Mus musculus: one gene and its partners. The protein of the gene in region 4 interacts with the protein of the main gene of each other region in a biochemical or structural test. Links are inferred from orthologs where the notes say so. Each region holds a gene or a part of one and is shown on either strand. Other genes may lie near its edges. The genes, in order: Pth1r, Kcnj1, Podxl, Slc9a3r2, Tbc1d10a, Sgk1 and Slc9a3.

Region 1 (3,941 bases), on a different chromosome or scaffold from region 4:
CTGTCCTGGGCGCCATATTCCCAGCCCCACCCGGCCAGGCCCACAATTCCCTCTGGTCCCTGGGGAGCCACAGGGTGACCACAGGCTCCCAGATGTGGCCCATCTGGAATCTGCTGCCCACCCTGCTGGCTCTAACTGGCCTTGTGGCCACAGCTTGGGCTCTGTGTTTGTCTCTCCTCACCTCCCCGAGGCAACCCTGTTTCCCTCTCTCCTCTTCTCTCCTTGTCCCACTGTCTGCCTCCACCCTTCTGAGGCTGCCCTCATCTCTTGCTGTGTCTATGGGTCTTCCCACTATGTGTCTTTCTGTACTTCCTTTGACATACCAGACTTCTGGGTTGAGCGTCTTGTTCCCTTCTCTGTCTCTCTACATCTCTCCCTGACTAGTCTCTCAGGACTCTGTCCTCTCTCTTTACCTCAGTGGATCACGGGTTTCCTGCAGCTCTGGGTCCTTCTCTGGGGAGTCAGTGCATCCGTTCTGCACACTTTCTTGTATGCCAAGGCCTCCCAACTCACCTGACTCCCCACCCCTATGCGTGATGCCTCCTGGCCTGCTTTTCTGGGAAGGGAGCTGTGGTCTCTGACTTTCTGTAGGAACTCACATTGGTGGAGACAGGTGGATCTGAGCCTGGTCAAATGACTGCCTAAGGAGGGGTAGGGCACAAGATGGACAGACATACCTCGGCGCCTGCTGCCGGTGGGCACATCCTTGTTCTCTTTAGACTCGGGGTAGAACTTTCCCGGTGCCTTCTCTTTCCTGGGCTTCCCTGACGTAGATGCTGGCGTCCACCCTTTGTCTGACTCCATTATGTTGGCTGGAGAAATGGGGGTGGTTCTAGCCATCGGCTGTGCTGTAACCACAGCCCTGGTTACTGCCCGGCCCCTCACCGGCTCCCCCTTTTTACAATGAGTTGATCCTATCAAGGATGCTGACACTCAGGCTGCTGGAAGATTAGGGAGGACAAGCAAGTGACCCGGGGGTGTTTGCTAGGTGGAGAAGCAACCAGGAAACAGATGTGGTTGGCAGAGGTTCAAAGGGGGTGACTGACATATGAGGTGGGGTCACCTGGGAAGTGGAAAGGATGGCAGGCCAGGAGGCAAAGCCTCGATGGAGGAAACAGCCCGCCAGAGGGCGCATGGCAGAAACTGGGAGAGGTGGATGGAGGTAAAGGTGATAACCAAGTCGGGCTAGCCTGCTGTGTGGGTGACACAGCCAGGAGTAAAGAGTGCATTGTGTTAGGAGTGGACACACGAGCCCACCTTCTCCACCCTCTGCCCGAAGATACTCGGGTCAGGGGCTTGCAGCTTCTACAAGAGCCCCTGAAGACACCACCTGAGCTGGGGCCTGACCTGTCCTCCTTGAAAAGACACTGGAGGCTTCTGTCCTTAGCCAGAAAGTCCTCACTATCTGACTTGTGTGACTTCAGCTGTAACCCAAGCTGGGGTACCTTGGGCACCCTCCTACGTTGGGGTCCGTGGGAAGCTGAGTCCAGGCAACCTGTACTGGGGTGACAATGACTGACAATGACTGACAATGGGGACTGGGGTGACAATGACTGACAGCATTCTCGCTCAGGGAGGGGTTCTGTGATAGATGAGGAGCCAGAGATGTACCCAAACTGTGGGTTCCACAACTAGGAAGAGGGCCCCATTTAGGATCATATGAGGTGTTCATCTGTCCCTACCCTCTGTGTGACAGGTGGGCCAGGATAGGTGGAGCTTGGTCTGCAGAGGAAGTTTTTACAAATGTGAACAAAGTCCTCTTGCTTCATAGAGAATCTGTCACCATTTGCTTGTGTCCTGGGTATGCTCTACTCCCAGCCCCCAGTAACCCGAGAGCCAGCTCCAGAGAGAAAGCTGCTCTGGAAGGACAGACAGTAAGCAAGGGTGATGAGATTGGCCAGACCTCAGAAGCCTGGATGAATGCCAATGTAGCCCATACCTGCTTCCAGGAAAGAGACTCACGGAAGGGGGCAGAGAGGAGACCCAAGATGGGAGATGCCCTCCTTACCCATGGCCAAGGTCCCTTAGAGATGCTGTGTGTGTGTGTGCGCGCACACACGCGCGGTCCAACGCCCTCTGTCCAGGCTATCGGCTGAGTGACACACACATCCCTGTCCCATCTAGTTCTAGGGATGCTGGTTCTATGCAGGAGCTTCCCATCCTTCCAGGCATGGCATGGCTAATCTTCTCTTTAAGGAAGTTGGCCCAGCCCACCCTGTTTGGACCAGCGCCCTCAGCAAAGTCCCTGGCTTGCCCAACCCCATCTAAATCCACTGGGACCCCGTGCTTTGTCTGCCTTCTCCATCTGCAAAGGGAGACCCACACATCTTTCAGCAAGTTTTCCAAAGGCTCTTGTCTCTCTCCCCCTCCCCAGCCCCCACATGGCCATGCCTGGGTCTGAGAGCTCCGGTGGGCAGACAGCACTTTCCCGAGTCCCGGAAGGTAAGGATCGCCTGAGCCTGTTGACTTCACCCTTGCCCGATCCATCTCTTTTAGGCCTTTACTCTGGCTGGGTCTCCCTTTCTTGAGCCCACCCAAGGTTAATGCCTCCAACTCCTTCACCCGATTGTCCCCCGCTTCCTAGACTCCCACCCTTTTCACATGCTGACCCCACCCCCACCTGCTGTGTGCAGAACTTCCTTGAGCAGCTTGTCACATTGCGCCTGGGCACGGTGCAGCAGGAAAATCTGTTCCTCTTTGGTAAAGACATCGTCTGCGTCCACCTGCCAAACCAAAGGTCAGACTGTAGGCAGCACTTCCAGGTGAGGCAGCTGGTTCCAAACTCATGCAACCTCCCCAGGGATTTCCCCCCTTTCGAAAAGTGATCCCTTCAGAGAGAATGTGGGGAGTCGGGGAGAGCATCTGCCTTCCAGAGCCTCCCTTTTAAAGTTTGAAGCCACGGTAACTCAATGGCTAGGACCTGCCCCCTTGCAGGGAGGAGAAAAGAATTGAAGCTGTCTTGTCTGTCTGTCCAGCAGTAACCCAGCATCCACTGGCATTCTTTGTCTAGTAACCCCCCCCCCAGGGGGGGGTGTATGGGAATGGTGGAATGTCCCAGGATGGAGCCTCACAGGGTCCTGACTGCCTGCTGGTGATCCAGGGTTAGATCAGGAGTGCTGAACTCTGAGGAGATAAATCCAGCCTGGATTCCTTCAAGTTTCAAGGCCCCCGGGGACCATGACAGCCACCATTTTCCATGCTGACCCAGTGGTCAGCCGGTGCTTTTCCCAGTGAAGGGTCAGAGTCTCACCCTTCCTACTGAGAGCCCCAAAGAGGGAAAATGGAGAAGCAGTGGGCTGGGCTGCACCCCCACATGCAGCTCGGCGCAGTCCTAGGAGCCCTTCATCCCACTGGAAGTTCCTCCATCCTAGCAGATGCTGCGGAGGACATGTGTAACTCAGCACAGGCCTTTGCTCCTGCTGACCTCTCTGAAAGAATGTCCTCTCTCCACTCTGTACACCCACGGGGACCCAGCAACATCATTTTAACCCCGGAAGAGAGAATAGTGCAAGGGGTCAGGGAGAGTCTCTTTCTGAGATGGTGGCTGCTGGAGGAGATCTGAGTCTCCCCTGACTTGGAAGCAGGGGCCAGCATCTTGCCTGGAAGGAGTACCGGGTGGGATACTCTGGGACAGCCCGGGGCAGTCAGAGCCATGTACCTCAGACCTCATGACTCCCCTAGAAAGCCTACCTCTTCCTTAAACTCCAAAGAACACAGCCTGATCACCCTGAACCGACAGCTCTGCCAGCCCATGCCTGGCCATGTAGGCGGGTCTCTTTAGTAAGGGTGGAGCTACGAGAGGCAGAGAACTTGGAGGCCTGGAAGGAAGGAGGCGGGTCAGGTTAGGGGCGGGCCGGCGGGAGGGGGCGGGCGGCCCGGGTCAGGGAGCCCGGCTGAAGGGAGAAGTTAATTGACCGCGTCTCTTGGCGGCAGCTGCTCCG
Region 2 (4,511 bases), on a different chromosome or scaffold from region 4:
TGAAAGGGCACAGGATAAGGGATGAATGGGGGTACTGGGGTTCCATAGAACTCAGATATGAATCCCAGCTCTGCACATACCAGGGTTTGACCCAGTGCTTCCCAAACAGGGTACTCTGAAGATATCATGGGTCGCAAATGTTGATCTGTGTGGCTTAGAAGGTTAGTGAGGACCTGAGGGAGTCGGCTTAACAGCCTCGTCTCCGTACACAGCAGACCGTGCCAACACCATCAAGCTCCATGCCCCCAAGCAGGAAAAGCTCAAGAGATATTACCTCAGCCTCCTTTGACCACGATGCTGAGGGGACCTAAGCAGCATCATTCCTGGGAGGAAGAAGTGCTTGGAACACTCACTTGGTTGGAGTAGGTAGGTTTAGTAACAGAAGAGCCTCTATCATTCAGCAATTGTGCTGTGCGTCCTGGCATTGTCTCAACCTCAGACTGTTGCATTAACTCACTGCTGTGTCCTACAGTGCCACCGAGGGATTAGTCCTCTGAAGCCAAACTGACTCTACATCCACCACAATGCCTCACTTCAGCCTGAAGCGCCCAGGAGAAAAGAGACCGGCTACAACTTCTCCCCAGACAACTGCGCATTTCAGAGATGCGGATAAGACAAGAGGCACCTATCTGCAAGGTGAGTCCACTGCCCAACATGTCTCTCACTTCATCTCTCTGAAGCTGCAGCCCAGGTGGAGGTATGAAGATTAAGTGGAAGGAAAATGCTCGTTGCCATTCAAAGCCTGATGTTTCATCCTTGCCAGGTCTCCAGCTTTCCTTCTTCCCTGTCCCCTGCTCGAGCCGGTCAGCAGCTAGATCTCAAGGATTCAACCCCTCAGGGGCCTCTTTCCCAGGCCACCTTGCACTCAGTCTTCTTTCCACAAACAGACTAAGCTCTTAACCTATCACCTCTTGTGAGGCCTTCTGTCCCACAAACCCCGTGGCTTCTCTTGTCTTATATTACACATCCACTCTCACCCCCACCCTGCTACCACTGGCTTAATGCACCCTGCATGTATCATGCCTACATGCCTTTGTGAACAATATTTTCCTATTCTGGAATATTCTTTCTCATGCCCCGATCAGGTACCATCCTATCTACCTAAGGCTTTTAGGATAATGCTATTTTTGAAGTCTTCTATTAACAAAGTACAGCATGCTTCACCCGCACTCGGCCATGATTCCGCGAGTGCCCGGCTCTGTGGAAACCCCAGGCCACACACACCACACAATGAGCCTAGACTGGAAATGCCAGGCCACCACACCAATACTGCCATGACATGCATTTATCTGGCCACGCAGTGTTGTCCCAGGACCTAGCATGGTTCCCAGAACATTCTAAGTTTGCTTATTGCACACTTGTGGGAACACATAGGAAGATGTAAAGGACAGCAGGCATAATGTTAATGAGTGTAAGAACAAAGGAAAGACACGTGTCATCGAAAGCATGCTTGATTATAGAGAAAGAGAACTCCAGTGTGGGTTCCGGGAGGATCAAAGTGCTGGGACATAGAAGTCATCCCAGAGAAAGTTCTGGAAAGAGAGCTTGGGAAGCCATCTGTCCATGGAAATCCTTAAGCAGAGAAAAGCAAAACATGTGAGTCACAGCTGGGTCTGCGGGAAGTCACCAGGCCAAGAAAAGGCCCAAGATAGATTTGTAACCTAGTACCAGAAACACCTGGCGGAGCAAAGGCAAGGGACATGCATGGGGGACTCCGATTCATCTCTCCAGAGCAGGGCATGTGTGGCCGTGCTGAGCAGCTCACACGGTGACTGCTTTTAAGAGTCAGACAAAGCAAACCAAAAGCCACCAACAGCATCAGAAGTCCAAGACTCTGTCATGAGCAATTTGTGCTCTCTGCTTCTTTACAAGTTCAATCTTCAGCCTGAAAGGACTTGATCACTTCCTTGTGTAGAAGGAAACCCATCTCCATGAAATGAGTGTCGGAGAAAAGAAAATGGGAGGGAAAAAAAAAAAAAAAACTTGGAACGACTGCTATTTCCCCAGATAATCCTATCTCATTGTGACTTGAAAAGCAGCAGTTGATTGACCAGTGGGAACACGTTCACATAAAATATCAAGTAGAACAGAGAAGAGGGCCAATGAGGAACCCCAACACCTCGGTACTGGGCACTTCTCTAGCACTGACGTGTCTGGAAAACCCTTGCCTACCTTCACTTCCTTCCATACTCACTGTGTTCTGTTCTAAGAGTTGTAAGTTGCCCTTTGCCTAAATGTTGATTATAGACGGCCACCTTCTTTTGGGTAGCTATGAACAGAATCTGTTAGAGACAGATATTTGGAGAAGGAGCCCCATGCCTGTCAGAGTGTAGAGAACCAGTTGGCATCGTTACCACCCAGAACATTTGTCAGAACAATATTTAGGGAGCAGAACAGATAACGACAGATCTAAATGCCTGCAGTGGAAATGGTACAAAAGGCCACCAAGTGTTACGTAGGGAAACCGAGCACTTGCCTGAGACAAGATGTCATAGAGCTTGTAACTTGCCTTGGCTACACTAGACTTCAATAGCACCTTTATCCTCTGCCTTTCAAGGCAGAGAAGGTCTGAGGGAGGTTCTACTATTAAACAAGATGCTGCTTTCAGGGTGCTCAGAGGCAGCCCCATGCTCATCCTGCAGCCAAGAGAAGACATTGCACTGGAGTGATGCAATCAAGCTCACACAGGCTTCCAGCCTCGGAGCTGTGAAGTGGCCGAGGGTAGGCAGAATGTGTAATCCTTCTACTAATCCACCTGCAACCAGCAGATCCCAGGCGAGAGGTGATTTAAAACCACACTCTTATCCCTCGGGTGGGGAGGGACAAATCTGTCTCGGTTACAGGTAGGGAAAAAAGGAGGCTAAGCTTGCATGAGAATTAACTAGTATTTCAACAGAAGGGCAATGAGATGTGTGTCCTCTTACCTCATGGATTGCTGGGGTAAACGTGGAGACAAACGTTCATTTTCTTGGTCCCCAAGAGAGCAGTCAGGTGCTTGATGTGAGAAAGTCCCTTGCACCTTTGATTCGAGAGTTTGGATGCCCCAGCTAAAGGTGCCCAGTACCTTGGGTTTTATGTCTGTGGGTCAGCTTTGACTGGCTCCTGACTCATCTATATGCAGCAGTTCTCAAAGAACATGGTTTACTTTATAACCGGATCCAACAAGAGTAGGCGTGGCCTTAAATGATTGAGATACACCGAAGGTGTTAGGCTGCCAAGATAATTAAGAGAGACTGGTTTATAGAGCCAGGGCTTGGAACCAGAGGAAGGCCTTCTTGTGTGATAGTGTCCATATCACATAAGTGAATATACAAGGTCCAGAATCACTCAGTGTCCTAGGAGGTTGGGCTAACCTGACCTTCCAATGGTCCTTCTTCATCACTATGGGTATAAAGCAATGTTGGTCTTTATAGCACTTTATAGCACAGACTCTTAAGGAGATCGATCAGTAGGGTTGAGACCCTATCCACCAACTTCTGCCCCAGGCAAGTAACCTAGTGCTGCCTGACCTAAGAAGTCTGTACTGTGAAGTAAGATAATGCAGGAAGTGCCTTGGTATAAGTGTTTCTGCTCTCTTTAGTCACCCCGACTGACATCTGATCCTAGACCCCTTCTAAGTTGTTGTTCTAGGAGCTCCTTTGGGTTATAATGTCCTCTCAGAACACTTACATCACCATTGATCACCATCAGAAGCGTGGGAAAGCCGCCATCGTGCAGGAGAAACAGTGGCCGTCTACGCACTGTCTCATTACCTGACAACAAGGAAACACCAGCCTCAACTCGGGAGTGGAACCAAGGAACCAAGCAGAAGGGCCGAGAAGCACCTCAGCTTGGAGATGGCTGTGCCAGCGGCTCTGACACCATAGATACTTGTATAGCCATTTCTTCCATATTGAAACATTCCACTGAGAAGGACAATAGATGCTCACAAAGCTCACAAGAGAATTATAAGACTCACAAGGCCCCTCCTCAGAACTTTGTAGATGGGAAACAACTGCTAGAGGACAGGAGACTCTTTGGGGATGTAGCTTTTATCATGCTGATGTCAGTGACAAGCTGTCAATGTTGTTAGAGTGGGCTTTGGGTAATGCAGTTCCCTGAGGCACCTATGCATCTATAAGTAAGCTCCATCTACCCTCCTATAAACAACCCCAATGCCCACATTGCTTCACCAAGTTAGACTTGGGTGGAATTGTGCTCACCAGTGTCCTTTCAGGGTTGAACAGACTTTTGTTCGTGTCCCCAGGAAAAGTCACACAGAAACTGCCTTATAGAGCAGAACCAACACATGATGCTATTTACAGCAGAGATGAAATGGAAATTGATCCAGAAATGCTTGAGTGAAGGGTATCAGGGCTTCAAATACTTATACGACCAGCTCATGTCATAGGCAAGGAAGAAGAATGCAGTAGATCATTGTTGTCTTACATGTTGAGATGTATTTGATAATGTGATCATCTTAAAAGGTCGACCCTGTAAGGGGTGGTGAAGTCATGAGGGCAAAGCCATCA
Region 3 (4,501 bases), on a different chromosome or scaffold from region 4:
ATACGAAAACACTCCTGGAAGCTCTTCACTGGGCTCATTAAGACAGCCGCCCCCAGCCTCTGGGAAGCAAGTCACTCGTCCACGACCACCAACAGCAGCAGAATCCCGATGTTCAGGATGTCTCAAGCCTATCAAGTGCCCAATACACCCATTCAATTCACGGCAGTACCACGCAGCTGCTGACATCCGTGCTTTGGCTACAATGTTAAATCTGTTACCCTTACCATTGTTCATCAGATGAAAGACAACCTATGAAGCAGGTTTGTGATCACTTCAGTAGGAAGCCTAGGCTTGAAAAGTCCACAGACATGCAAGTGTGGGGCCCAGTCAGAGAGTTTCCACCATGCCAACCCACCTGTCTCCTGCCCAGGTTTCATCCCTCAAAAGGCTATCATCCAGAGAGGCCTAAATCAGTCTCTCTTTTCAACAGCCAAGGAACATGGAAGTCAAGACATCCACAACAGTGAAAACAGAGGTCCCTCTGTTCCTCCACCCTACTTTACAGAAAGGAAAGTGGAGAGCAAAGGTCTGACTTGCCCTGTGGCAAAGGAAAAGCCCAGGAAGGACCCCAGGATATAAAGGCTGTTTACCTCCAGGGTGAGCTCAAACCACCAGCTTAGGAGGAAAGCAGGAGACCTGTTGGGATAATCCCTTTGTTACAGAGACTTGCACTGGAAGCCTACAGTTTTGCATCTCATCATAGAATTCCACCAGTTGAGGTGGTGCTGGGGGGTGGGGGTGGGGGTGGGGGTGGGGAGATATGGCTGATGACAGGCCTAGAGGAGGGTGTAAAACCACCACAACCCAAACCCAGGTTTGCCCCCTAAGCCTTTTTTGACCTGGATACAATTCACCATCATCATCGTCATCATAATCAATTTGCTGTCCTCGTCATCAGTGTAACCATTCCTCCTCGCCACCAAACACTGTCAAAGAACGTCTCTATATTGCCACATACTGTGAAAATGACATTTCAGGATTTCGGTATCCAGGGCTCAGTGGTGCTAAGAGACTTGCTGTTTGGAACAAGGCCAGGTTTCTGGACACATTTGTTCGAGCATATTGATCTCTGACTATGAGCTGTCCCTGTGGTAGAGTCTGGACAGGGCCCCTCAGCAGGCATCATTCCTAGGCAGTTGTCAGGTGCCAGACAAGAAACCCAACCTTGCCGGGGCGTGGTGGTGCACGCCTTTAATCCCAGCACTCAGGAGGCAGAGGCAGGCGGATTTCTGAGTTTGAGGCCACCCTGGTCTACAAAGTGAGTTCCAGGACAGCCAAGACTATACAGAGAAACCCTATCTCAAAAAGGCCAAAAAAAAAAAAAAAAAAAAAAAAAAAAAAGAAGAAGAAGAAGAAGAAGAAGCCCAACCTTGATGTCCAGGGACCCGGTTGGGAGCAGTTCACTGATGGCTTCCAGGGATCTCCCTTTAGCCTGTATCTTCTCCAAGCTTGGCTTCTATAAGATTGGAATCACTGTGGACTAACTAGCTCATCTGGCTTTTGAATGGTACTAGGGGCTCCCCCTCCAAAAGACTGCATGTGAAGACCATGAAGTTGCCAGGGCACTCTACAGACTTGTCGGTCCTTGTTAGACTGTGGCCCTCCAAGCTCTTCCCATCTTCCTCGAACTGCACCCCTCCTCAAGGAGCACAGGCCCTTCCCCCAATGGGAGTACTCTTCCCTTCCAGGTCCCGTTGGAGTCCCAGGCCACCCTCCGGAGGTTTAAACCTCCATTCCCTGAGGACCAGCCCTCGCCACCCTACCATCTCATCTCTCATTGTTCTGCAGAATCCTGTTCCCCCAACACTAACTCCCACAGCAGCAGAGTCCCTTCCCCGCTTGGGCGGTCACCACTGTACTTCCGACTCTGGAAAGCCTCCCTTCGCTACTTTCTCCCTGCAGCTACCTGCTCAAGATAGGCTACTCCGTTTATGAAACCTGCCTCTCTCTCCTGGGCTGAGTCTCTCAGCTGTTTGGCAGGGACTTTGGGACACCTGCTCTGGTTATGTTTGCAGACACTGCCTGACCTCTCAAACAGAAAGTAACATTCCACCTTCAGAAAGAAGGTAGTGGGATCGTCTCCAAGCTGGGTCTGATGGGAGATGGGTGCCCGAGGTATTACTAAGACACAACTCAAACCTCATTTGTGAAAGAAATTTCTTGTTTACACAAAGGGGTGGGAGGGGCCCACCATCCTGGCCATGCTCTGAGAAAGAATCCGGTCCTTTGGCAACATGAAGGCAAGGACCCCACTGAACCAGGCTCTGGGACCCTGGAAGGAGCGCTTATTCCACCCGTCCCGGGACAAGCTTAAGAAAAAGCGCTTGCACAAGAAGTACGCTACACGCGTGGGCATTTAGGGATTTGAGGTCAGTTTCAGGGGCTCCTTCTTGTGGTCCCTGCCCGCGGCTTTGCTTAGTTTCAACGACCTCCCAATACGGTCCCCTAGTAGCCCCAAACACGAGAAAGAGAAATCGCATTCTGGTGGTCATGCGGGAATCTGGGACCTCCCCACAACCCAAAGTTTCCCCCCCATCTCCAGCGAACCCACCAAGTGCCCCCTTTACAATCTCACAACCTCCGGCTCACTCTACACCAGTGAAGACTAGGAATAAATCCACGATCTGGCCCCGCACCTGCGGGGTTCTCCAATTTGGAGGGGGCGTGGATGGTGCCAAGGTCAGGACTCTGCGTGCGGCCACGCGGGAGAGGCTGCAAGCGGTCCGACCACGCGGTGCAGCCGGCTTCCCAGGAGCCCCACCAGGCTTGGGGCGGAGGGGAATGACCAGGGGTCCCGGCAGAGCCGCGGCTGTCCACTCACCATTATGGGAGTGAGATGCAGGCGACAGTAGCAGCAGCAGCAGCGCGGAGAGCGCCGTAGTGGGAGGCATGGTTGTGCTCGCCCGGGGACTCCGAGCAGGTGGCTGCGGCGCTGGCGCAGGGTCGCGCGTCCGGACAGCGGGAGCGTCGGCGCCGCTCCGGGAGGCCTGGCGACGGCCGCGAACTCCGGAGTCGCGATCCGGCCGCTCCTCCTGCCTACCGCAGAGCTGGGCTGGGACACGGAGCCAGCAGCGACGAGCGAAGGTGTCTGCGGCCCGGGCGGTGTCTGCGCCGCTGCGGCCCCGCGCACGTTGCTGCGAAGACTCCCGCCCCGTCCCGTCCGCGCTGGCCTCCGCCCCCTCCCCCAGGAGCTCGCCCACAGCGGCGGCGGGGTCGGGCGGGGCGGCGGCTGGGCGGGCGCTGGGCTGCGAACAATAAGCAGAGGAGGAAACTCCGCCCTGGAGCGCGGCGGGCGGGGGAGCAGGGGCTGGCGGTCCCGGGCAGTGCGTGTGTGAGTGAGTGTGTGTGTGTGTGTGTGTGTGTGTGTGTGTGTGTGTGTGTGTGTGTGCCTGTGAATCTGTGCTCACGCTGTGTATACTTGCCTGCGCGCGCGCCAGGGACCCTGTCAGACAATCAATCCATGCCGCGGATGTCCTACACATTGCTTTTGCAGGGGATCAGCCCGGATCCTCCATAATGCTACCGCCCTTACAACGCAGGCACAGGCCCCCCCAGTCTGGAAGTTCCGATAAGAACCGACCCTTCCAGGCCCCCAGACCTCAGCGCCTTCCTGCGGCAGAACAAGGGAAGCAGGTCCCCTGCCCAGCAGGTGCCTGGATCTCGTGCAGTCCCCAAGTCTGTCCTCCGGGATGAGCCCCGTACCATCTGGACGGGTTTTTGTTTTTGTTTTTGTTTTTGTTTTTGTTTTTAACCTCTCCCACCGATGTACAAATGGATGCGACTCTTTTAAGGCAAAAATTTCAGCGCTTAATTCGTGCGCGTCTGTGTTCTAAGTGCTTTGCACGTATTAATTCGCTTGCTCTTCACGGCAGTCACATTTTTAAGCCTCGTTTTGCAGACAGAAAAATAGAGTTAAAAAAATAGTTTAAAAAGTTGTTTAAGATCCCTTAGGTGGTAAATAGCAGCCTTACTTCTGAGATTAATCTGGAAAAATACTTTGCACAGAGCCCGTAATACTGTAATTGAGCCATAAGAAATAATATTGCTGAATAAAAAGCAGCAATGGAGATTTAAGGGCCTCGGCGTCAAATCCAACCTGGGCTCAAAACCTAGTTGGGCTAACTCACTCTGAGTGCTTTGATTCTTTACATACGAAGAACAAGGCTAACAACACTTCCAACAGCTGCTGAGACACTTGCTTGGGAGACGCACTTAGCGTAGGGCCAGAACCTTGAACAGCCTTAATGAAAGAAGCAGCTTTCGCTCGTGAGAAACCCATAGACCTGAGGTGGGAGATCGGAATTGGAGAATCTCATAAATGGAGAATCTCATAAACCCGAGTTTACTCTGTGAAAGGACAAAGAAGCTCGCATCCTATTCGTTTGGGGAGGCGGGGAGGCTTTGCGGGCTGCAGACTCAGTGGAGTCCCCTGCAGAGGTGGCACTCTCATCTCGGGATACAAAGCTGAAGGGGGAGGGGAGGCTGACACGGAAAGGATATG
Region 4 (4,419 bases):
GTGAAACCAATCCTAAGCTAGAAAGACAAACTCTTTGGATAAGCAGGCAGACAGATAGATGGAAGTGGTCAGTCAGGCCTGTGGCAGCATCAGCTAGAATCTGAAGAGAGGGCTGGAGGCAGGGAGCAACAAAGTATCCTCAGCCTAAGTGCCTTTTAGGAGCAGCAGCTAGGGTGTGGGTACCCAAGGGGCTGCTGCTGAGAGGTGGGTCCTAGTGCTTGGGTGGGGGTTGAAAGCCTCAGCTAAGGGTTCTGGAGAGAGGGGAGGGAGAGGAGAACACTGAGCTAGGACTGCTTCTCCTATCCACATGGGGAACTGTCTGAGCTGGCTGTACCTGACGCCGGGGGACCAGGTAAGTGAGGAGCTGTGGGCTGGGGAGAAGCAGGCTGTGGGTAAGCCTGGATCTCAGCTGTCTTATGTGTTGGGAGGATGCTTCAAGGTGAAAGTGCAGTCTCACAGTACTGGACTCTAGCAGAGGGTTTTCTCTAGGCCTCAGTTTCCTGATCTGTAAAATGGTCAGTTTTCTCTAGGGCTGTTTTTTGGAAAACCATATAGGAATGCATAAGGGGTTTTCAGTGGGACTATTTTCCTGTAAGAGTAGATGAGAATTTCATCAATTGTAAATCTAAGTGCATTGGGACTATAGACTTAGGAACCGGCGTTGGGAGCCCTGTGGGGCTTAATTTGGGACAGCTGATCACCACCTAGAGCTCAGGGACCAAAGTCCTCAGTACGGTTCATACTAGGTCAAGAGGAAGACAGCACACACCTCCCATTTCTGCCAGATAAACTCATGTTCCCAAAAAGCAGGGAATACAGGAGACAGGATGTTTAATGGACAAACACTTCCTGGGAAGAACAAGGGGACACCTATTTGCTGTCCTTGGTTGCCTAAAGACAAAGACCTTGGTTGCCGTGGTGTCTCTTTAAATTCTTATTCTTGCCTGTTGCTCTTTGGGTCGGGACAAGACAACTTCGGGGATCTAGAGGGAGCAGGCAGAACACTCCTGGTAGGTAGAGGGTGGGGTGCATCCCGAGGAAAGGGCGCAGTGGCCCTTGCACTTCCCCTCTGGCCTCTGTGTAGAGTGTCTCTGACAAGAGGCTTCCCATTTCTGGAACCTCTCTCACTGTACCATATGCAGGTGTCCAAAAAAGTGGTTCCTGGACAGAAGTCAAAGGTGCTGGCGCTACGGAGGGTGGCCAAAATGGGTTAAGATAGGACTCCCAGGGACTCGAGGGTTGCCTGACCAAGCAATCCCACTCCTTGGTCCTAGGGTTTCTGGGCGCCCAGGCAGGGGCCTAGCTAGCGGGGCTTGGGTTAGGGCGGGGGCAGCCAGGAGGGCGGGGAAGGGGCGGGCGCGGGGGCGGCGCTGCAGCAGGAGCAGGGGCCAGGGCCAGAGCCGAAGCCGGAGCCCGAGGCGACGCGAGCTGAGCAGGAGCCACCGAGGCCGCTGCCTGCTCTCCCGCCCGCGCCTCCGCCGCCTCCGCACTCCAGCCTGCGGGTGGTGTGAGCCGTGGCCAGTCGCGGCCGGCCAGGGGGCAGCGGGTGCCATGGCCGCGCTGGAATCGCTGCGGCCCCGCTTGTGTCGCCTGGTGCGCGGAGAGCAAGGGTACGGCTTTCACCTGCATGGCGAGAAAGGCCGCCGTGGCCAGTTCATCCGGCGCGTGGAGCCAGGCTCCCCAGCCGAGGCGGCCGCGCTGCGCGCCGGGGACCGCCTGGTTGAGGTCAACGGCGTCAACGTAGAGGGCGAGACGCATCACCAGGTGGGTCCCTGCGCTGCGCCCCGCCCCCCGGTTCCCTCCTAGGGGCGCGTCCCTACAGCGCTGGCCAAGATGCCTACGACCACCCTTCTGCGTGCCGTATGGTGGGACCCTGCAGGGGTCCCATGGGGGCCTGCTGTTTGGGTGTCGAGGTGTGGGACGTGGCCCGCCAGCTGGCCTCCTGGTGAGGAAGCTCAGTCCTGCACAAGCGGGGGAGGGAGGACATCCTGGTAGGGAGGGGCCGCACTGCGGCTACTCTGGCCAGGGCCCTGGCTGCTTCTGCTAGTTTTGGCCTCCGTGTGCCATGGAGGGGGAGGAGGTGGCTAAGGCACCTTGTGGCCTTGTGGTATAGATGCTTTTCTGTCAGTGTGTGAGTTATGTGTGTGTGCTCTCAGGTCTCTCTGGGGTCATCCATATGAATACACTACCCAAGTGTTCCAGGAGTGGATGAAAACATACTTGTGTCAGGGCTGGAATGTGTGTCTAGGGTTGTGTGGACACATCAGGCATGTGTGCTGGTCTCTCTCTCTCTCTCTCTCTCTCTCTCTCTCTCTCTCTCTCTCTCTCTCTCTCTCTGTGTGTGTGTGCATGTGAGTGTGCGTGTGCGTGCACGCGCTTGCGCCTGCTTACCTGGTTACACTAGTGTACTTTTCATGGGCTTGTGTGTCTGGATCTGGTGGAGTTGGCTCTAGTAGCAGCGATTCCTTGGGCTCAGAAAAAGCCTTTTTCTGGGCGGCTGCCTGGCCCTGTAGAGGTCACTGTATAGCCCTTGCCTGCTGCAGCAGGAGGAAGGAGGAGAGATGATCCACTGGTCTCTCTGCAGGTTCTACCTCTGGAGTGTCTGTATCCCGCTGAGGGGTAGATACAGTTAAGACCATGGTTACACTTCAGCCTCCCTCCACCTTTTCTGTTCTGGAACCCTAGTACCACTAAGTCCATGACCTATGGGAGTGGTTAGTCCTGAGGCCTGGAGAAAGCAGTGGTTCCTTGCTGGACTGAGTTGAACTTCTATCTCCCCAGCGACCAGTAGGTAGACTACAGTGACCCCTGGATTTGGTTGTGTGCTGAAGAGTTTGGGAGTGAAGCCCAGTGGTTGGCTTAAAAAGCAAGGGAGAGACTGGCAGAGTTGATGTCATATGCCTCTTGCAGTCGCTGAAATGTACCTGTTTATCCCAGGTCTCTAAAGACCTTCACCTAGAGCCACATTAAACTCCTACTGCTCAGAGAGATAGGAGCCAAAACCACGACCCCCATTCTGCTGGTAGCGACTGTGGTGACTGGCTTGGCTCCCATGGCAGAAGCATCAGAGAGCTGGCATCCCTCTGCTCTGTTGGTTATGGGGAGAGAGGATGAGCACTGAGGGGCCAGGTAGAGATGGGCCCAGGTAGGGCCTTCTTATCTGTGGTGGCATGTGCTAGAGAAGCCATCTCTTCACTCCCAGGCTGTAGGAGTGGATCTTGCACGGTCCACGGTGTCCCACACCTCACAGACACCCAGGCAGATAGACACACAGATGGCTGTAAAGCCACATCTGCTCTGCTGCTGTACCTGATGGATGTGAGCACCTTAGAATTGTCTTCACCTCTTTGCAGGTCCAGCAGGGATGGGTTTCTAGTCCTGATCTGGAGGCAAATTGAGGTTCTAGAACTTGTTGGGCATTAGATTCACACTGCATCTCCAAGAAAGAAATAAGCCCAAATACTCACACTGGGGCCAACAAAGACATTGCTCTCTCCTACCCCTGGACCAAAGAACAGACTTTAAAATACACACACACACACACACACACACACACACACACACACACACACACACACACACACAGAGAGAGAGAGAGAGAGAGAGAGAGATAAGCCTGCACACATGCATAGACCAGATTGAAATCCTGAAGCTCAACTGAACAGATTTGGACTCTCCCATCTGGCTGTTCCAAGCAGTCTTCCTGTGCTCACCTGAGCTGGGTGCAAGGCCACAAGAGAATCCTGAAGTACTTGCAGCCTGGGCCCTAGCTACAGGGAGAAGAGGGAGGGAACTGCTAGAAACTGGGGGTGGGGGGTGGAGCCTGCAGGCCTCTCAGGCCAGCTACCCACCCCTGGCAGGCCAACCCCTGCCCCTCTGTCCATGAGTCTTGGCCTAGCCGGGAGTGATGCCCTACCCATGTGCTGCCTGGGGTGTTGGCTGCTGACCGGGTCCCTGCTTCGCACCCGTTCCAGGTGGTACAGAGGATCAAGGCTGTGGAGGGGCAGACCCAGCTGCTTGTGGTGGACAAGGAGACCGATGAGGAGCTCTGCCGGCGGCAACTGACCTGCACTGAGGAGATGGCCCATCGAGGGCTTCCCCCAGCCCACAACCCCTGGGAGCCAAAGCCGGACTGGGCATGCTCGGGCAGCCTTGGCTCGGACACTGGCCAGAAGGTATGGTAGGCTGTGTCTGTGGGAACAATGAGCCTTTCCCAGAACTACAATCCCTGCCCCTTGATAACAATCTTCCTTTTGGTCACTTCTATAAGCCTCCATTTCCTCTTAGGGCTCTTTACCTACTGCAGTAACCGCTCTCTATGCTGCTGGTGAGCACTGCAGCAACTTGTCTGCCTTTGTCCCCTTTGCTGGAGGTTCCAGGGACTAAGGAGCTCTGAGAGGAGCTGCTGGGACTTTAAAG
Region 5 (4,579 bases), on a different chromosome or scaffold from region 4:
TTATGTATGTAATATGCTATGTGATCTTAAGCAAGTTTTTGCTTCTCTGGCCTCTGTTTATCTTCTATATAAAGGCTATACTAGTCAATCTCTTAAGATCTATTCCAGCTCAGCTCACAATTTTATGATATACTTTAGGCCAGTATGCAACAGACACCAGAGTGAGGAAGCCTCTGTTTTCTTTCCTATTCCCACAGACCTTGACAACCACCAAAACTGACCTGTGCTGGGACAACCTTTGGCCCCCGATGTCTGAAACAGACCTTTAATCTGGAGACAGAGTCTCCATCCGGATTCTGCAGGCCATTTGTGCTAATGTTTCACTTCTCTGGGATAGCACATGTACTCCTAGCCCTCAACCACGAGACTAGGTTCAGGGCGGTCACAAACTTCCCCTCGTATGGCCTTGGGCAGGGACTTACTTTTGGCTTTTTTCAAAACACAGTATAAACTAAACAAGGAAGATCCAAGTTCTCTGATACCAGAGATTTTGCTAATGGACAAGCTGAAGGAAACGAGGCAGGGAGACAGAAACAGATCTAGGGTCTCACTTCAGACTTGGCCTAACAGACATCAGAGACGTGGAGGGCACCTGTGGGGTTGTATCCTAAGTGTGCTATTGGAAGGTGGAGAAGATGAACAGCAGGCTGAGATTTTTGGGATGAGAGCCAAAGGGAGGTGCTCCCATTGCGTCTCTTCCCACAAATACCAGAGGTACGCCCTAATTTTTCTCTTCATTTCTCAGACCCTTAGAAGGAGAAAGAAAGCGATTTCTTGGGCTATTCCTGTGCCAGGCATGGTGCGGGATGCTTCCATATATCCGGTTTCATGTTCCTCAGCAGCAATGGGTATACACACTACTTTTTCCCTTGACTAAACAGGCTAGGGACTCAAGATCTACCCAAGGTCACACAGCCAGCAGGTAGGATCCCTAAATCTGGCCCTTCCTCACTCTATCATATCGCCCTGCACCCTGAAATCTGGGTAAAAATCCAATAACCACAGAAGAGTTCTCATGCTTTAGAATTTACCAGCAAACGTGACTGTTACGTCCAAGACCCCACAGATAAAACTGAGAATTCCTTTCCCACCCCCTCAAGACCTCACCCTTCCTGGGCCCCTGATCCCTGAGGAAGGGCCCAGGAAGGGTCCCTGATGATCTTGCCCCAACTGAAACACAGCCTAAACCCTCTCTCTAGGTTCCCACAAGCTCATACAGGGTGAAAGGTGAGAATGAGGGCTTCTCCTGGTTCTGAACTGGACCAGGCTTAGTCTAATGTGAGCAAGAAAGAAAGGTTGGAAGAGACAGATCCAGTGGGTGGGAGGAAACATAGGTCAGAGGCCTGGATTTAAAATTTTCTCCTTCTAAGGAGGAGGAGGCCTCGTGAATAAGAGACTCTTGGGGAGGGAGGGTGATATGGTGGAAGTGACATTTATATGGGACAGCTTCATGGAGTGGGTTCTTAAGATAATCAAGCACTTCTGTAAGTCCCAAGAACAGCTGGGGACATCCTGGGCAGTCACAATCAGTCAGAGGAGAGGGAGAATATATACTGGCGTAGGGCTTCCATGGTGCCTGTGAGGCTCTATAAACTGGGAGGTACACTATGACAGGGAGGCTTGTCAGTTCTGGGTATGGCGCTAGTCTCCTATCACAAGACAAGTGGAATGAAAGCAGGATCTAGAGGCCATCTTCCTGAAGAGACCACCAGATCGCATCCGCAGTCTCTGGGAGGGCGGGCTTCTAGGGGTTCTGCTGTGTACAAATCTGTAGCCCAACATGCTCAGCTTGGAGGGAAGGTGTTACTCCTGCCTCAGCTTTCTCTAATGGAAAGCTGGGTACCTGGTAGCTCAAGGGTGGGGTGCTGTCTCCCTCCTTCTCCAGTCCTAGATCTGGATTTGGGAAGGAAGGACATAAACACGGCAGCCTGGGAGTCTACTGGCTGGCTCCCCTGTGATGAAGCTGACAGGGGAGTCCTAGAGTTGAGGTGCCCTATAACTACTGGGAAGGAGTGTCGGCCCACCTGTTGCCTGTGACAATGGACAAAGCTGCCTTTTGGCAGAGGGTGTGTAATGAGGAGAGACCTTTCCATGATGAAAAGAAACTGGGAGTCAAGATGGGACCCTCTGGGAGGGGGCTGGCCAGTGTCAATCCTTCTGAGATATGTGTCTGGAGGTAAGGGTTAGCGCGACCTGGAATAGCTCGGAGTCCTGAAGTCTTAAGATTTCCTGGGGTGCCGATACTGAGGTGGCGAGACAAGGATTCTGTGGGGTAGGGGGAGATGGAGAATAGCTGTGGGCAAAGTATGGGGCAGCCATCTGTGCGCGTGTCAGGGGGTGGCAAAGCTTTAAGGCCAGAGTAACCTGCGAGATTATGAGCTGGAGATGGGAAACCCCCATCGGGGATACTCTCCTTGGAGGGTATGGATCAGTCGGTTTGGGGAAGACCAGGAGGAAGGGAATGGCCTTTCTGTTCGTAGGTAGAAAGTAGGCTGCCGCTTGCGGCGTATCTGTGGGGTTGGGACAGTGGAGACACGTTGGTGGGTCAGGCCCACGCCTGTGCTGGTCCCGCGCCCGGCCCAGACCCCAGAGCTACTCACGCGCCCTCGGCGCCCTGCGAACCCACGATGAATCCGAACTTGTCGATGCGGCGCTCGGCGAAGCCGTTGGCCTCCGAGTCGGAGCCGAGCGAGCTCAGCTCGTCGGCGGTGGCGGCGTCGGGGCCCTGGGCCAGGCTTTCCCGGGTCCCAGACAGGCTCCCGCCTGCTGCGGGCTCGCGCGGCCCATTCTCTCTGCTGCTTTTCGCCATATCGGCCGCGCCCGCCACCAGAGCGCCAGCGGCCACCTCAGCCGCCTGAGCCGCCCGGCCTCCGCCGACGCTGCCGACGCCCCTCCCACGCACTGTGCCCATTGGCTGCCACAAAGCTGGGGGCGGATACCCAGGGAGCTCCCACCACGCGCCCAATGGGTGCCGAGGGTCCCGAGCCTCGCCCCTCCTCCAGCCTGGCGCCAAGTGGACCGACGTGAGGGGGCGGGACAACCGTCACCAAGGGCCCGCCTTCCCTGGCTGCCAATCACAAAAACTCACCTGGACTAGCTCGTCTGGCTTTTCCGGGTTGGCCCGGAGCTGGTGTGTCACCTGCTGCTGCTCTCTGGCAGAAGGTCTAGGGCTTCCCTAGAGGTCCTAAGGTCTCTGCCTCCATGGGAAACAGGGTCGTGGGTAGCGCTACTTCGCCAGGTCATTTTCAAGAACAGTGATGAGACGCAAGTGGGCTTAGGGATCTGAACCACCTGGCTGTTCTGCTTAGGGGGATGCAAATTAGCTCGTGGGAGACCCTATAAGAATAATACAGAACAGCCGGGCAAGATGGCTCACGCCTTTAATTTAATCTCAGCACTTGGGAGGCAGAGGCAGGCGAATTTCTGAGTTCGAGGCCAGCCTGGTCTGCAGAGTTAGTTCCAGGACAGCCAGGGCTACACAGAGAAACACTGTCTCGAAAAACCAAAACCCAAAACCAAATTATATATATATATATATATATATATATATATATATACACATACACACACACACACACACACACACACACACACATATATATATATCAGACCTAAGCTCTACCTTTTTCTTCCCAACACCTTTCTGGTGAGGGTTGATTTGTATTGTTTTTCTTTGAGATAGGGTCTCCAAAGTGGCTTTGACTTTACTATGTAGTCTAGGGCCCTCCCTGTCTCCCAAGTGCTGGGATTACAGATGTGGGCTATCCTGCCTGACTCCCCAATAGTTTTATTGAAATATGGTTAGCATACCACCACTTCCATCTATTTAAGGTATATACATACTTCCTATATTTAAATTCCATCACCCCACCGACACACCTACACATGCACAAATACATAAAAATTAAAGATAAATTAGGCATGATAACAGATGCCTGTACTCTGTAGGCTAAAACAGTTTACAAGTTCCGGACAGACTGACTGGGCTACAAATAAAAATCCTATCTCAAAAAAAAAAAAAAAAAAAAAAGTACAAAGCTGGGCGTGGTGGTTTTTATCCCAGCACTCGGGAGGCAGAGGCAGGCAGATTTCTGAGTTTGAGGCCAGCCTGGTCTACAAAGTGAGTTCCAGGGCAGCCAGGACTACACAGAGAAACCCTGTCTCGAAAAAAAAAAAAAAAAAAAAAGGTACAGTCCCATGGTTCTTTAGCATCCGTACAGAGTTGTGCAAACATTGCATCCTCCTCCTAGGAAATTCTACCGAAGAAAAATGAAAATAATGCTACCTGGTCAAATAGAGAGAAAAAGAAAAGAAAAAGAAAAAATATTCAAATGACTTTCACCAATTAAGAGTGTATAAATGTGGTATGTCCATACAATGGACATAATTCAGCCATGAAAAGAATAAAGCACTAATAAGTATGCAATGTAGATATATCTTGAAAGCAAAAAAGAAAGGGTAAGCAAGACAAGACCCTGTCTTAAACAAAGAAACAAACAAAAACTGAACACACAAAATCATTAATAATCATAGATACTGGAATATCTAGAAGCAGCAAATCTGTAGGTACAAAGAATAA
Region 6 (3,941 bases), on a different chromosome or scaffold from region 4:
GTAAATGGAAGTCTGTCAGAACACAGCCAGGCCTGTTATTTCTTGTGTCATCCAATGACAGCTTTCTCTACAGACAGAAATGCCTCAGTAGGCCACAGACTGTGTCAGTAAAGCCAAAAACATTCAACGTCAGAAAAAAATAAGCCTTTTGTGGCCAGCCCAGAGCTGAGTCGGAGTCTGATTCCTGTGATTAGCCAGTTCGTAAGCCAACGAAGACCAGCGCTCTTACAATGAGCACCCTCTGCATGGAACCTTACAGATTGTGGGAGGCTCGGCTATGCTTCATCTTTTGATCATTTCTCATAAGTGACCAGGATGAGTTTTTCATGAAGACATTGCATGATGTCCTGGGTCCATGTTTTCAATCTTTAAACATCTAGAACAAGAGTCCTTTGTCTCTGGGAAATGCTTATCATCTTCAAAAGAGGATGATGCTGAAGTAACCCTCTGGTGGTGTACTGGCTTGAAACAGCACACTGGAAGACCTACAATTGTTGCACCTTACAGAAATGGTGGTTTTTAAAGACTGTTTTTCCTGGCCCTGACCTACCTTTGCCTCTCAAGGGCTGGGACTAAACACATGTACTACTTACTGCCCTAGGGCTCTTTATCACTGTATTGACAGTAAAATACAGCCTAATTGTGGGGCTGTGTTTGCACTTTAATCCCAGCACTGTGAGTTCGAGGCCAGCCTGATTGATAGCCTGAGTCCCAGGACAGCCAGGGCTACACAAAGAGAAACCCCTGTCTCAAAAACAAATAAACAAAAGAGATAATGAAAGAAATATATAGATTATACGTAATGCCTTATATAAAAATAAATATAAACCTAATTAAATTACAAATTCAAAATATAGCTTTACCTTAATCCTCAGTCTTTAAATAAAACCCCTTAATTTTTTAAATTTTAGAAGCTGTGTGATAAATTCGTTATCTTATCTTCCTGAAAATAACAAAAATAAAAATAAGGAAAAAGAAGAGAAGAGAAAAGAAAAGAAAGGAAAGGAAAGGAAAGGAAAGGAAAGGAAAGGAAAGGAAAGGAAAGGAAAGGAAAGGAAAGGAAAGAAAAGGAAAAGAAAAGGACTCTCTTCCCAAATTCTTTTAGAGTTACAGGAGAACGCTGTAAGTGGGTCAAATTGTGTTGAACTAAATATTATCGGTAGCAGCAAGTCTATCGGTGATGAGTACAATCCACTGTGTGCATCATTACAAGTTGATCATGGGGCTAAGAGCACTGACTGCTCTTCCAGAGGTCCTGAGTTCAAATCCCAGCAATCACATGGTGGCTCACAACCATCCATAATGAGATTTGATGCCCTCTTCTGATGTGTCTGAGGACAGCTACAGTATACTTACATATAACAATAAATAAATCTTTAAAAAAAAAAGTTGATCATGTACATTACTGAACACCGAACCTATTCTAGATGACCAGTCGTTGAGCGTCACAAAACCTAACGCAGTTCTAAGAAGGTTCAGTTCCCTAGCAGGGAAAGCAAACCCATGGAGAAATAGGAGTTGGAAAGATTAAGTGATGAACGGGGCATCTTTTACTACAGTAATGCTATGGCACAGGATGGCACATGCCCCTGACTGTGCACCATTACACAGCTGCCAAAGCACCAAGAATGAACTAAAGCTGGGTAGAGTGGCACCTGGGTATGATCCCAGTCCTCAGAAGGCTAAGGAAGGAGGATGGAGAACGTAAGGCCAACCTAGGATACAGAATAAGTCCCCATCTCAAACCAACAAGGACACATTAGTCCCAACATAAACTACAGTGCTGAGTAATGATGTATCTATCCGCTGGGGATGCTGATAATGGAGAAGGCTATGCTCGGGGAGGGAAATGTAAATTATAGAAAATCTTTATACCTCTGCACAATACTTCTATGAGTCCCAAGCTACATTAAAGGTTGATTTTTTTTTTAATTAGATAACACAACAGGAGGCTGGTGAGATGGCTTTGTGGGTTAAGGCCCAGTGACCTGAGTCCTCAGGACCCACATAATAAAGGAGAGAGTGAAACTTATGCAAGTCACCCTCTGACTTCCATATGTGTGTTAAGGTGCATATGCAAGTACATACATACATACATACATACATACATATACACACACACACACACACACACACACCACACAAACACACATGTGCATGTACACACACAAATGCACATATGTACACTCGTACACCCCCAAAATAGGTATAATTTTAAAAGCATAACAGGTGTGTGGTGCAGACCTTCAATTTTATCCATAAGGCAGAGGAAGAAGAACTGTAAATTTGAGGCTAACAAGTTTCAGACCAGACCAGCATTACATATCGAGAACCTAATTCAAAAAAAGGAAGAAAAGAGGAAGAGAAGAAAGGAGATGAAATAAAAGTCTAATAAAACTTGCTGCTGTGTTTCCTACTTACAAGCATTATGAATATACATCTTTTTTTAAATTGGCACCTCTGTCACAAACACAAGAAAAAGGTTTCCAATTCCAGAAGGGCGGGCCCTCAGCAAAATAAAGAACTTACTTCACACCCAGGTTGGATCTCCCAGGAACAGGACTCCTCTGGAGGGAGCATCCCCCTTTGGAAAGCATGGTCACCCAGGCATGATTGACACATGGCCTCAAAGTCTGACTCCCCAGGGGGAAGATGCACCCCAGCAGGGCCAGTGTACTTCAAGTTGGGGCTCTGATGCTTGTCCACGCTGACCATGGGGCTCTTGATCCATCTTCGTACCTGAGAGTGCAGAAGGAGAGAACAGAGAGAGGCATTTGCTAAGGTTGTCCTTTACAGCACACTGCTGGGAGATTTGATGAGACAAAGACTACGATGAGGAAAATTTTGTCTTACAGCTTCTCAGTCCTTCCATCCATCTCTTCTAAACCGGTCCATGCTGGCTGTTCTTCCATCTCCCCAAGCCTCTCATCAATTCTAGGCCTACGATAATGATACTTCTCTTGTGTTGTAACAGTTACAACATTTTCTTTCATCTCTCATGTAACAGTTACAACATTTTCATCGTGCCCTATTGTTATTGTTTGCAGCACTGGGAATTGAATGCAGGACCTCGTGCAGGCTAAGTAAACACTATACCACCGAGCTAGGGCCTCAGTCTGAGAGTGTTTCTATTCTTAAGTCATTATCATTTTAAAGGGGCAGTGCTTATCTTGGCTTACAGCACAAGCAGATGGGATCCATCATGGTGGGCAAGGCGTAGAGACAAGTAGCTGCATAAGTGTGTGTGCAGCTAGGAATCCAGTCCAGGAGTCGAAGGAATGGGAAGCAGGAAATAGAGAGGAAGAGAAGTCCCAAGGCCAGGTACTGGAAAGATGGCTCCCAAGTTAGGAATTTGGACTGTTTCAACAGAAAATCTGAGTTCAGTTCCCAGCTCCCACATTCATTGAGTGGCTCACGGCTGCTGGTACCCTCAGATTCAGGGGGCTCTCAGAGCTCTTCTACCTCCCACATAGAAACAAAAATAAACCTTAACACCTTAAGGTTACTTGGGCGTGCTGATGCACACTTTTAATTCCAGCACTTGGAAAAGACAAGGATAAGTATGTGTTTTTCACTATTATAAAACCTCACTTTTTTTTTTTTTTTTTTTTTTTTTTTTTTAGTGAGGTTGTAGACAGGGATGGTGGCATGCGCCTGTAATTCAAGATCTCAGGAGGTACAGTTTAGATTGCTGTGAGCTCAAGGCTCTCCTAGTCTATATAGTTGAGTTCCAGGCCAGACAAGACTAGAATAAGGCCTTTTCTTTTAATACACACACACACACACACACACACACACACACACACAAAGAATAGTAGCCAGGCTTATTGGTTCATTCCTGCTATCTTGGCTACTTGAGAAACTGAGGCAGGAACACAGAAGTTTAGAGCCAGCTTGAGCTACTGAGGATGCTCCAGGCCAGGATGGGTAAGGAACATTTG
Region 7 (3,941 bases), on a different chromosome or scaffold from region 4:
TACATCACTAGGCTCTGGTTGACTCCACTCCACTGCTGCAGCTGCTCTTGGTGGTCATCCCATGGTATTGCCATTTTCAACACACTGGGGTCTTCTGCTGTAACTAGGCTTCACCAATAAATATTCTCTCAGAAGCTCTCTTCATGGTGCCAAGCCTCAGCTTCTTTGCAGTCCTGGGATGTCAACTGCATCTGAGGCCGCACCTTCAACAATGGCCTTTCACAGTGTCAAGCCTCAGCTGTTCTCCATGACCCCTTCATACCTTCAAAACCAGTACCATCTGGGTGAATCTTATTATTACCAAGTCTAGATGCCAGCATGGTGTCTATCTCTGGAACACAGCTTCTTTGTGCTCTCAGAAAACATTTCCCAGACAATTTTACCTCAGTGATTCTGGTCTCTTCTTAATCACTGCTAATTTCTTAGCTTCAGCCAACCAGCATCAATTGTCCCAGTAACCCCTTCTACACTTGACTCTAAAGCCAGAGTCATGTGACTGAAGAAGCTGAATTCTTCTGCTTGCTGTGGCTGGAACATGGCCCACTTGTTCTATTACATCATCGTCAGCTTTCTGTTTTCGATGACTTTCTTCACTACCTAAGCTTGGCTGTCCTGGAACTTGCTCTATAAACTAACTTTAGCATGCCTCTGTCTCCTGAGTGCTGGGATTAAAGGGATATACCACCATGCTTGGACCTTTCTTTACCTTTCACAGGGTCTTTATAATTTGTGGGTTGTACTTCATCCCAGATATAACCAAGCTGACAATCAAGAACAACCATCACAATCCCATGCTGAATCTTTGTCCAGCTGTGAGACAGTAGGTGATGCCTAAACAGATGGAAGTAGATGCTCACAGGAGGACTCGGAGTCAGGATGTTCCCTTTGGAACACTCATTAAGTGAATGAGGCCTTTGAAATCCTGGAGACCAAGGAGAAACAGGAAACAGTAAAACCAGGAACTATCAACTAGTATGTGTAAAAAGGTCCAATCTATAATTAGCTTCCTTGAGACATCTGTAAGCTAAAACTTTTGTGCCATGTTCATAACAGATTCGTGGCCGCACAGATCAGCAGGGTGGGTAGGTGTGCATAGGCAGCTGTTCTAACTCTTATCATAGTTGCCAGAATGGTGTAACCAGCTGGTCAACCCCCACGGGAGAAGGAGATGAAAGTGAAATGCTCTTAGTCGCATGATGAATTACAGAGTTGAGCACCTCAAACCTCTAGAGTGGTTTGGTGCTGTTTCTGCTCATGTACACTAGCAACTTATTGGGAACTTATTATTTTAGGGAGACCCCTTTTAGTCCCTTATTGTCTGCATCACTAGATAAAGACCTCAACGGTGAAGGCTTGCCTGGCTTCTAAAACTATAGGCATCCTGCCCGAGGGTGGGTACTATTGGTCACATTGGTGATGCCATAAGGTGATTGGAACATATCTAAGATAGCTGGACCTAGAGAAATGTCTTGAGATAGGGGACAGGGGCTTGTGGATCTGATACCGACAGCTACTCAAGGGACATACTGGCCCTCACTTGATGGCCCTGTCAGCCATAAGATTCCAGCATGTGATATTCCTGGGGTTGTTTTTAGGGTAAATGGAAAACCCTGTAACAGACTGACTTATGGTGTAAGTATAGAGCTTTAAATACAGTTCACTGGACCTTAGCAAGTATTCTTATATGGGAAATCACATGCTTATCAAATTCTAGAACATTTTAATCTCCAGAAACATCTAGGCCCACCTTCCTACTATGTCATAGTCATGAAGAATCATTATACCATAGTGTCTTTTAATAACCAGTATTGCTATACATCACTGTCTGCAGTTAGGGTCACTCTCCCATGATAGATATGGGATGTTGGCTTGTGCTTCATCTTTGAGACCTAGCTGGTCAAAGCTGACCAGAAAGATTATCCTCATCCAATGAGCTCTCTTTTCTATGTGACTTTGGCTGCTGGTATAGCCACATTTGCCTAGGCAGTGGTCAGACTCTGTGGACAGTAGTTCAAGGCTGGGGCTCACCCTGAGAGGGTCAGCTAAGTTCCACACAAATGTGTGTATACTGTCTAGGCTGGAAAGTCAGTCCTGATTCAGTGGACTATACATCTTCTGGGATCCAGCTTGGTTTTTGGAATGCACTTTAGGTCTGTAAAGATTCTAGACCAAGAAGCTGGCTCCGCTAAGGCATTTCAAGGCTATCTATCCCAGAAGGTAGTTTACTCTGGAAAGCTTGGCAGGGCTTATATGGTGTGGCAGTTTAGTGTGTGGTCCACTTCTAAATGGAGACTTCAGAGAGCTCTGGTACTGGCTGGAGGCAGCAGAGTTTAGTAATCACTGACATATGGGGCTCAAGTCACTACAAAGACCACCTTGTCCAGTGCCCTCTACTTCCTGGGGCACATTGGCTGCCTGAGATTCTTCCTAATGATCATTCTTTGGCCTCAAGGGATGGCAAGATCTATCCCAGCTCAGAAAAGAGAAGGAAGCGCCACATGGGGGGACTGTGTAGTCTTACATATTTTGGGGGTGTCTGGCTGTGAGCTCCAGTCTCTGACATCCTCTTTGTCACTGGGTAGCCCTGGGAAGAGTTGTTCCTAGCCTTTATTCCTGATGACTCTGATCATCCAGGGACCTGAGAGATGTGGGATTTGGAGAGAAAGAGCCAAGTGGCTAGCCCATGTCCATGGTCTACATCTCTTGCAGGTGAACTGAAAATTGGACTCCTGGATTTCTTGCTGTTTGGTAGCCTCATTGCAGCTGTGGACCCAGTGGCTGTGCTGGCTGTGTTTGAGGAAGTCCATGTCAATGAAGTCCTCTTCATCATTGTCTTTGGGGAGTCACTGCTGAATGATGCAGTGACTGTGGTGAGTGATGGTGGGGTCCCTGGAGTAGCTACAGAACATTTCACTTGCATGGAGGTTTTAGGATACCTTGCCAAGTGCTCGTTACCAATATGCTTCAGATAGAAAGAGGGCCACTATCTGAACATGGTCTCCTTTTAAGCTATGTTTTTAATCTAAGATGTCCAACTCCTGCAGGGTATGTCTATCACCTGCTCCTTTTTATTGGTTCAGCAATCTTGGGGTATGAGTTAGGGGTTGGGGAGACAGAGGCTTTGATCTTCTTCTGGCTCCCTAACTCTGCTTCATCCAATTTCTCTATTTTACAATTTTAGGCCCATTCATTACCACCTTTGGCAGTAATGCTGCCCTATTGAAATCTCTATATCCACATCCCCCAGAGCAGAGGTCTATAACTTTGGACCCACACTTGATATTACCCACTATTTCCAAAGAAACAGACAGGTAAATAAACAAACAACAAAGTCCTACAGGAATTGCGTTAATCCCATGGGCCCACCAAAACAAAATACTTCAGAAGCCCGTGGCTTAAACAGTAAGAGTTTATTGTCTCAATGCTGAAGGCTGGAAGCTGAGAGCCAAGCATGGCAGCTGGCTCTGGAGGCCCTTTTCCTTAGCCCACAGATGCTATCTTCTGCCTGTGTGCTCACATGGTCATCTCTCTGTGTGTTTATGATCTGCGCTCTTCTTATACATCATTTCTTATACATTCTCATGCATACCCTATTGATCACTTTTATCCTTAACTACTCTCTTTGAAGACGTCCTACCAAACAGCTTCACTCTGAGGTCTTGAGGTCAGGAGTCATCACGTAAGTGGAGGGAACACATTCAACTCCTCCCTGATGGCTTCTCAGACCCATGCAGTGGAGTAGGCATAAGGTCTCCACAAAGATGAGATTGCATTCATCCTGGCAGTGAGAAGCAGGTACACGAAACATGAGCACTGCTGCTACTTTAGTGCAGCCCTGAGGAGATTTCAAAACCTGTCCCCAGATGGACTACAGGTTTGTGGGAGGGGATGAGGATTAACTGGTAAGAATGGGGCCCAAGCCCTCAGCTGACACCTGAGGA

The links.
Region 1: the proteins of Slc9a3r2 (region 4) and Pth1r interact in a test that uses a peptide from one of them, tested with the Homo sapiens proteins (2 studies listed by BioGRID and IntAct, with this or other methods). The link is inferred for Mus musculus from reciprocal best matches to the Homo sapiens genes NHERF2 and PTH1R.
Region 2: the proteins of Slc9a3r2 (region 4) and Kcnj1 form a complex in vitro, tested with the Homo sapiens proteins (2 studies listed by BioGRID and IntAct, with this or other methods). The link is inferred for Mus musculus from reciprocal best matches to the Homo sapiens genes NHERF2 and KCNJ1.
Region 3: the proteins of Slc9a3r2 (region 4) and Podxl form a complex in vitro, tested with the Homo sapiens proteins (3 studies listed by BioGRID and IntAct, with this or other methods). The link is inferred for Mus musculus from reciprocal best matches to the Homo sapiens genes NHERF2 and PODXL.
Region 5: the proteins of Slc9a3r2 (region 4) and Tbc1d10a form a complex in vitro, tested with the Homo sapiens proteins (2 studies listed by IntAct, with this or other methods). The link is inferred for Mus musculus from reciprocal best matches to the Homo sapiens genes NHERF2 and TBC1D10A.
Region 6: the proteins of Slc9a3r2 (region 4) and Sgk1 form a complex in vitro, tested with the Homo sapiens proteins (2 studies listed by BioGRID, with this or other methods). The link is inferred for Mus musculus from reciprocal best matches to the Homo sapiens genes NHERF2 and SGK1.
Region 7: the proteins of Slc9a3r2 (region 4) and Slc9a3 form a complex in vitro, tested with the Homo sapiens proteins (2 studies listed by BioGRID and IntAct, with this or other methods). The link is inferred for Mus musculus from reciprocal best matches to the Homo sapiens genes NHERF2 and SLC9A3.

Annotation. Positions count from the first base shown.
Region 1 is NC_000075.6:110,728,918-110,732,858, forward strand, and holds part of Pth1r (parathyroid hormone/parathyroid hormone-related peptide receptor precursor), read right to left. Parts: intron 2,724-3,941; coding exon 2,621-2,723; intron 813-2,620; coding exon 678-812; intron 1-677.
Region 2 is NC_000075.6:32,371,027-32,375,537, reverse strand, and holds the start of Kcnj1 (ATP-sensitive inward rectifier potassium channel 1), read right to left. Parts: upstream 3,121-4,511; 5' UTR 2,925-3,120; intron 637-2,924; exon of another isoform or gene 473-636; intron 367-472; exon of another isoform or gene 136-366; intron 1-135. UniProt on the Homo sapiens protein: Inward rectifier potassium channels are characterized by a greater tendency to allow potassium to flow into the cell rather than out of it.
Region 3 is NC_000072.6:31,560,758-31,565,258, forward strand, and holds the start of Podxl (podocalyxin precursor), read right to left. Parts: upstream 3,181-4,501; 5' UTR 2,892-3,180; coding exon 2,822-2,891; intron 1-2,821. UniProt on the Homo sapiens protein: Involved in the regulation of both adhesion and cell morphology and cancer progression. Functions as an anti-adhesive molecule that maintains an open filtration pathway between neighboring foot processes in the podocyte by charge repulsion.
Region 4 is NC_000083.6:24,647,283-24,651,701, reverse strand, and holds the start of Slc9a3r2 (Na(+)/H(+) exchange regulatory cofactor NHE-RF2), read left to right. Parts: upstream 1-1,396; 5' UTR 1,397-1,551; coding exon 1,552-1,764; intron 1,765-3,974; coding exon 3,975-4,175; intron 4,176-4,419.
Region 5 is NC_000077.6:4,185,121-4,189,699, reverse strand, and holds the start of Tbc1d10a (TBC1 domain family member 10A), read right to left. Parts: upstream 2,868-4,579; 5' UTR 2,810-2,867; coding exon 2,601-2,809; intron 1-2,600.
Region 6 is NC_000076.6:21,927,140-21,931,080, reverse strand, and holds part of Sgk1 (serine/threonine-protein kinase Sgk1), read right to left. Parts: intron 2,740-3,941; coding exon 2,530-2,739; intron 1-2,529. UniProt on the Homo sapiens protein: Serine/threonine-protein kinase which is involved in the regulation of a wide variety of ion channels, membrane transporters, cellular enzymes, transcription factors, neuronal excitability, cell growth, proliferation, survival, migration and apoptosis.
Region 7 is NC_000079.6:74,152,380-74,156,320, forward strand, and holds part of Slc9a3 (sodium/hydrogen exchanger 3 precursor), read left to right. Parts: intron 1-2,709; coding exon 2,710-2,870; intron 2,871-3,941. UniProt on the Homo sapiens protein: Plasma membrane Na(+)/H(+) antiporter. Exchanges intracellular H(+) ions for extracellular Na(+) in 1:1 stoichiometry, playing a key role in salt and fluid absorption and pH homeostasis.